Bombyx mori: one gene and its partner. The protein of the gene in region 2 interacts with the protein of the main gene of each other region in a pairwise test. Links are inferred from orthologs where the notes say so. Each region holds a gene or a part of one and is shown on either strand. Other genes may lie near its edges. The genes, in order: interferon regulatory factor 2-binding protein-like A and MCAK.

Region 1 (4,404 bases), on a different chromosome or scaffold from region 2:
TGTATAGTTAAAGAACTGAAAAAAAATGCTAAAACAACAACTCAAACATCTTCGTTTTGATCCTCCTTATCGGTACATGATACCTACGCAAATTTTCAAGTTGATCTGACGTTTCGTGGTTGTTGAAAATAACATTAAAAGGTGCGATGACACTATATAGTAATCTTAATGTTTTGGATTGAGGTAGACATAGATAAAACGCACGATTGTTGCTAAGCGATTAACGGAACCTATAAATCATATGATACCTTCGTTGCAGTGCCGAATACGGCCAGCCCGAAACCTAAAGTATATGTATATGATTATAAAGCCCTTAAATAGCATTCCTTCTGAAAAAAAATTAATGTAAAGAAAACAGAACATTAACATATAGACTTTTCTTGATTTAGTGTGTGCAAATTCAGAAATAACACTATATTCATTATAGTGAGGTAATTCAAATTATGTTCCATTGTATTTCTGGACACATTTTTAATTCGTTTTAATGTTGAAATGGAGCTTTGACGCTACAGTTCATCAAACTCCAGTAAATATTTCTACACTTGGATAACACGATTTCAATTAAGTTTTTGTCCGAACTTTATAAAATTGACGTTTTAAACCGTTTCGTTCCAAAGTCTCGTGATTTTACTGTCAATATCAGCTGCCACATCTATGTTCTGTGTTGAATGGTTCAAGACAATGCCCAAGCCTTCTTCCATGTCATCTGGCTAATAATAAATGACGATAATTAAAATTATATGTCACTTTCGGTAAAACTAGCATAACAGGTTAGTAGCAATAGATAGGCTTGACTTTGATTGTCCAAGTATTCCGAATAATATATTGATTACTCGCTTATATGCTTTCAACAGTTTGACCAATGCCGCCAATGTATTACCGTCTATAACAATGAACACTGAAATTTCAAATTGCTATCCGGGTGTTTGATTATCTATCCAGTGAATTAGAAGTGTTGAATCATTCGTACAGTGTATGTTGCCTGCGTTTTCTCATAATCGATTTCCGTTATTCCTCAGAGTCAATCAAGGCTTTGTCTTTTGTTTCTATATGCGCAAATGTGGATCGCACTGCTTGTATGAAGCATTTAATGATTTTGTACAGTGGACGTACTGTAATAAGCTTGTTTTCTACTACAAATACAGCAATACTATTAACGTAATGTCCGTTTTTGGATACTACAGGCCTTCGGGGTTCGGAACCCAAAGCATTTTCTGCTTTGAGTTACATGCTTAATGAAGTGTAACGCTGCGAATTGCAGCGGCCCATCTTTTAAACCGAATCGTATAATTGTCTCACGGCAAAAATAGACAGGACGATAGTACCAATCCGAATAGGCTGACAAGATGACCTTACCACCAGCAACCGTCACATTTCACGGAGGATGCCATATTATAAATAAGTCACTAAACAAAGTTTTCTTATAAATACGTACTACGTAGGTATCACGGGAATATTATCAAAAATGGAGAATTGTATCCATGTAAAAATATAGATAGAAATAGGAGTGCAGAAAGACAAATGAATGGTGGATGAATTAAACGAGTAATTGCAAATAATAACGATGAGTATAAAATGTATAGTAGACACTGATATAATCGCTGATAGAAGATAGTGGATACAGAATACGTTGACTTAATTTTGCAATCCGTCTGTGGAATAAATATGTTAAATTAATGATTTTTTTAGTGATGGCTGAAATCAAACTGCAGTTCACATTACTGAACGATATATATTCGGTCACTAAAAGTACACAAAGTATGACCATATTCAGGTATTGTGTTACAAAATGACGTATTTAGAACAACGTTAAAACTCAAAAACGTGTTAATTTATTATAAGCGATATAATCGTTCTTGTCGACCGTTCACGTTTACCTGGCCGTATAACTGTTTTTTCTCCGATCCTCGGCTGCATACAAAAAGTGATGAGAGCTGTTTCCATTATTATTAAGCACAACAAAAATGAGCGGCAACAAGGCAAAGTGAACGGTGCGACGTTGCCGATCTGCACGCTCGGCTGACTCGTCACGTGACGTCACGTCTCAAGATGGCCGACACACCGGTCGCGTCCCCCCGCTTCCACGCCAACCGGATCCTATCCAGTCGCTTGGTAGTAGTAATAATAATAATTTAGAATGCAGCCGTCAGAAAGGAAACCGACCGAGAATAGATGGGAGAGAATATACTGAAATTTAATGTATCGGACGTGTCTACGTTATATTTTAACGCTAATTGTTATTCTACAACACGCTGTTTACTTTCGTTGAATAACACGGACTATGAATAAAGGGTCGTGGCCGTGTCAGTATGTATGGCGACTGTGTGATTCATTTATAGGTGGTTCTAATTAAACTGACGTAAACAGCGGTTGCGTTATATAGTTCATTTAAAGAACTTGATAATAATACCTTGATTACCATATTAAGATATGGCTACGTGAATACGCTTTTGTAAATAAGCAGTTGCGTTAAATATTTAATTTAAAGAATTTAATACCTATTAATAGCTTGATTACTTTAATTTATGGCTACGTGAATACGCTTTTGTATATTTCCTATTAAGTAGGTACCTAAGACTGGCTAGAAATCTTAATCTATGCCAATAATAAGTAGGTACTTTAATATAGAGTAGGGCACCTACCTACCTTTACTACACCATTGAACTCTCGAAAAATTGAGTAGGTAACCTCATTGCTTTTTTCAATGCGTATTTAGACGGGTTCGTCGTTATCGTGCGATAAGCGCGTCGTCGGGGTCGGGACGAGTGGCGCATCCGCGTCGCGGCTAACGGCTCGTCCTCGTCGCGGTGGCGTGGCGGTGCTGCGCGCGCTGACGTCACCGCTCGATAATGGCTGCCGCGCCCGGCCCCCCCGCCACACACACGCCGCCGAAGCTCAGTCTTTCCTCGACCTCTTAAAGAAGCTAGTGTCTTTTATGTAGTGGCAACAAACAACTGTCGTCCGCGAAGTCGAATGTGAAGTTTTGTGTTTTTATTTGTGACTACCATGGTGACAGTGTTTTTTCCCGAAGGCATAATAAATCAGTGACAATTTTCAAGAGAAACGAAGAAAACCGATCTCTCGCACTCCGCACTACACCCGGCGGCGAGATGTCGGTGATGCAGAAACGGCAACACTGCTACCTCTGCGACTTGCCCCGCATGCCGTGGGCAATGTTGCATGAGTTTTCAGAAGCAGTGTGTCGAGGGTGTGTAAATTACGAGGGCGCCGATCGAATCGAAGTAGTTCTAGAAACAGCTAGACAACTAAAACGCGCTCATGGTTTCCAAGAAGGTCGTGGTCCGTCGCATGCAAAAGGAGCACATCGTACGCCCTTAGAAGCCCATCAAAATGGAGCAGAAACAACAAGAGGACAACCTGCACCTCCAGCTCACCATACACCGACGGTTGGTTTTACGTTACACCATCCACGACCTACGGCTAGTGCAGGCCTTCTGGCTGAATATGGAAGCCGAAGAGACGAACATGAGGGTAGACGACTAGCCCATTTACCTACACATCATCTTCCGGCACATGCAGGGGCACGTCTTGCTCCTGGTCTCACTTTAAAACGACCAATGGATGATGATGACCATCAGTCGCATCACGAACCAGCTAAAAGACTTCTAGAAGAACACTCTCGGCCGCCTCTAACCCGTGGTGATTCACTGCCAGCAGTATCACTAGCTGCTCCTTTCGCGCCAGATCGCGTTTTCAAACAAGAGAAACATCCTCTCCGTACTCCTTCTTTTGATGGAACTACGTTTAAAACGAATGGTGAGTTTTTTTTTTTTTTTCATAGGAAACCCGGTCCTAATTCGCGATTTTTTAAATGCATTAAAAACAATTAGCAACCGATTTCATTATACAAAAATAAATTAAAAAAACATTTTGTGTGTAGAATAATTGCAAAATGTATGTATTTTGATTAACAAATTATTATTATTAATTTTCATAGCATGCATGCTCCTCTATATTTGAAATTTTATCCATGCCAAAAAACTGTTGGAAAATGCACAGACATTACAATTTAGAATAGAACATTTACTATTTACTGCCTATTCTTTTTATGTTTGGATTGTTATCAATGTACAATTCAATATTTACATGATTGTTTAAACACTATGATTATGAAAATGTAATAATGTAAAAGAATTACCAACGTTAAATTTAAAGGAATAACCGATTTAAACTAACGACTAAAAATATTTGTAGATTCTGAAATACCTACTAACTAACTTCAGTACGAAAATTACAATTCAGCATAATAATTACAAAACAGAATTAAACTATTGTTTACAAATAACACGCAACCAGTATTTATGAAACGGTTGCTTATTTCAAATGTTACAAATATACGAGCTGTATGATGATAACATTAATGATTGTAGCGGACGCGAACGT
Region 2 (3,832 bases):
TCTAAAAGCATAGATGGTAGGAGCGGCACACGACTGGCCTGCTACTTATGTTGTCACCGGAGCCCAAGAGCACCAGTGTGGATGTCGCCACCAATTGAGATACAATCGAAGTCTTCATGGCACTGTGACGTCGGTGCCAGAAACGGCCAGGACGGTGATAGGCGGACTCCCTACCCACCATTTGTCATGATGTCATTACTACGGACGCATGAGAAGGCCGGAGACACATTACCATACCACACTGTACATTCTGATAAATAGTCAGACAGACCAATATCATCTGTAGTTGTCGGTCGTGTCGTAATTCCCTGGGTTCATAATGGTATTACATATTTGTATTTAAGCTCAACACTAAACATTCCCGTGGTACATCTTTTCCAATAATTACATGACATTTCGAAACACATGCATTTACCGAGAAAAAGCTTGTCCAAAAATCGATACAATAAATTACACCGAAATAGGCAATCTCAATGGGGTCATTTGCGTTTTTCTTTGGCGAGAAATAAAATATCGGCTAAAAGAAGCGTCGTCGCCCGACGTCGTGGGAAGGTGATTCATCGCGGACATGATGTCACTGATGATGTCCAAATCAAGCTTTATTCGTAAACAGGTGAACACAAACGGAGATCGAATGATGGCGGCATCGATCGGAAACGAATAGACTGCGTTGCAAATGTAATACAGCACAATACAAACACTAAATGGACCGTGGTTTTGTCAGGGGCACGACGAGCGACCGTAACCGATCGCCATCGTCGATCAGTGACAAAAGCACGTTCCACAAAAACACCATAACAAGCCGAACGTGTGCAAATCATAGATCGTGGAGCAAAACAACCGAAAAATGTGAAAGAAAATAAAATGTCGGTCCGCTCCGGGGCGTCGACGTGCGTATGTATGCGTGGAACGTGCGTGAGGGTGAGTACCGATCGTGAGTTGCGCACGGGCAGCGTGTGGCCGGAGTCTCCCGCCTCGCCCTCGCCGCCCTCCTGCAGGAACCCGCCGTCGTCCGAAGAGGAGCCCGACGGATCCTTCGTCAAATACACACGTGCCGGTCATACATCATGGTTACTGTGCTGCACTTACTCAATTTGTATCGGGACACTTGATCGCTCCGTCGATTTCCATCCGTCTAGTTCGTAATGAAAGTGAAACTGAAATGCTGGTGTTATGAAAATCGATAACCGGCGTGCGTCACAGGTGGGCACACAGGTGGAAGGTCGTTCACAACTATCTATCAGTCATTGTCATTGAGCGGCGTCCACTACTTGCTGTCCACGCACTAGACTCGGAGCGTGCCCGGCGGCCTCATCGATTAGTCTTGTCAACTAGCTGCAACATGTGCTTAACGTTGCGCGTCAGCAAACAGCAGCGTCGCCTTGGTAACCAAACTATTTAATAACAATAAACAAGCTCTAACTACAGTGCTTCTAGGTGATCACCTGCCAACTGATGATGTAAGGGAACATGTCTACATTTTCTCCGATGATTTTGCGGTGGCCGAGACTTGATAGTGTCGAGTTTCTAACCACACCACGCACGATTGATCGCTATATGACCGGCTCCGATGCTGACGTCATGATTAAAAATATAAAGCTGATGAGCGGTAACCGGGGCGCCACAAACAAAGCGCACATTCGTCTAACGTGATACTAGAGGTGCAACTGTAGCGTGGCGTCGATTAGCAACGTTCTTAGCGACCCAAACAATGAGAGTGATCGCGGCTTGGTACGCGTTCGACTCGCACTCGCGAATCGATAATGGCTTTCGATTTTTCACTAAAATTCGAAATCGATTAATATTAATCGTGAAAGCGAGCATAGATTCTGCAGTTATATCATTTTCAGCTTTCCGAGGGTCATCCTTATCGATGGACGAATTTATTGAGCTAGGTTCCGATGCGCCAATCAAACCGAGATCCAGTGAATGCGAGGTTGTTCTTTAATCAAAATGAATGCATAACCTACATGCTAACTGATTACTTTATAAATAATAAACGTATACGAATGAGGTAATGTTTTCAAGAACAAAAGATTGGCGTAGGTACGCACTATCTTAGTCGGCATCTCCGTAATGAAATCATGTATCTGGACAAATGACTCACTTATAATTTATAAACTAAACGACTTTTAAATTGATAAATCGGCATCCTACGTAGCAGCAATGCACATTGCGTGCGGCCATCGACTCTAAATCGTTGTACTTTGAACATAATCTACTACTACATCGCACTAGTTGTAAATGTTAACTAATCGGTACCAAGGTATCATAAATGGAAAAGCTAACAGACCCTGGCTAGTTTGTTGGGCATCGGCTGCAGGTGCGGAGTGTGGTGCCGCGGCCCACTCGCCAGTTCAGGGTTCAGCGCTAGGATGGCATCTATCTCGATCTCCTTGCCCTTGGTCTCGCCGCGCTCGAACCATTCCACAGCAACTGAGCGCGTCTCCAAGTTAACTGAGGCCACGATCGCAGAATGGACCCGACCTGAAACATTACATTTTACTATCATTAACATTGTAAATATATTACGTACACATACAGATTTGCTAATGCAAGCCGATAATCTTTTTAGCCAGTTTAAACTGGTCATTATATATGACGAGTAAGTCACAGTAGACAGTAAATGATTTAATGCACCTTTATGCACTTCGACAAAAGATATCGCACACTTAAACCAGGAAAGCATGACTATTTTGTAGCTAAAATATACAAGACAGCGTTACTAGCTTCGTATTAAAATAACGAGCAGAGCAAATTGGGTTGATAATAATTAGTTGTAGTAAATTGAGATAGATATAAATCAGGGTTACTGATAAGAACATGCACAGTATAGCACATCAAGGTGAAACGGCCCCCGGGACCTTGCATTTCCGTGCGGAATGTGTGGACAGAGAATAATATGCGGCTGTGACCTTCCGTGAACACTGTTCTTCATTCGTCTTTAGTTTTGTTTGAGCAGCCGTCACAATAGCAAATAGATAAGCAGCCGCCACAATAGCAAAAAGATAGAAAGTAAATCAATTCAGGGTCTTATATAGTTTCTTTTTTGTTATTTTAATCGAAGTATTTTTTCGTTATTTGTAGATAATTCTTGCCAGAACTCTGCCAATGGCGGTCCCAAGCCCGGATTGGAAAAGAGGAGGGTTGAGTTGGAGTTCGACCTTTCCACCGTAAAACGTCAACGCCGAATGTCTGGCGGCGGTTAATTAGCCGAACCCAAATAAGGCTTCAGCGGCCTTGAAGAGCTAAATCACTTCCAAAAGCACTGCCGTGGTAGGACGTGGGAACCCACCATGTGTATTTTTCCAAGAAAGCCTCATGAGGCCACGACCCTCAGGATTGAGGACTATCGACGCAAGGAGGAGGAGATAATTCTTGTAAAAATGAGGACAAATTCTAATGATTCTATTACCGCGTGTTCTCTTAGACGGCTGCGGGAATAACATCGTGAAATTAACAAAAACCGCAAATTTATTATTAATTTGCATTTTTTCTGGAAATTCATATTGTGGATACACAAATAGCACATACAGTTAGGTTCCATCACAGTCTTTTACTATAATGAAGCAAGAATTCGTTTTAATTCAAAGAGTAGGACAGTGGTTGAATTAAGACTTCCAGCTAAAGTCTCAAGACGAATGGCAGTATTCATGTCCAGGTAACCACTTCACACCAGGTGTGTTGTGAAAAGTCAAGTCAAAGCAAATGATGACGATAATAGCGTGGTTCAAACGTTTATCTACTGCAGGTGATTTATCTACCGCAGATTGTATTCTTGTATGCGACATTATTTGATTTTATTTGGTATTTTAGGTCAATGAGTATTTGG

The links.
Region 1: the proteins of MCAK (region 2) and interferon regulatory factor 2-binding protein-like A interact in a two-hybrid assay, tested with the Caenorhabditis elegans proteins (2 studies listed by BioGRID). The link is inferred for Bombyx mori from reciprocal best matches to the Caenorhabditis elegans genes klp-7 and ifbp-1.

Annotation. Positions count from the first base shown.
Region 1 is NC_085124.1:13,141,745-13,146,148, reverse strand, and holds the start of interferon regulatory factor 2-binding protein-like A, read left to right. Parts: upstream 1-1,584; 5' UTR 1,585-3,110; coding exon 3,111-3,777; intron 3,778-4,404.
Region 2 is NC_085111.1:18,675,893-18,679,724, reverse strand, and holds part of MCAK (kinesin-like protein a), read right to left. Parts: intron 2,488-3,832; coding exon 2,294-2,487; intron 1,035-2,293; coding exon 930-1,034; intron 1-929.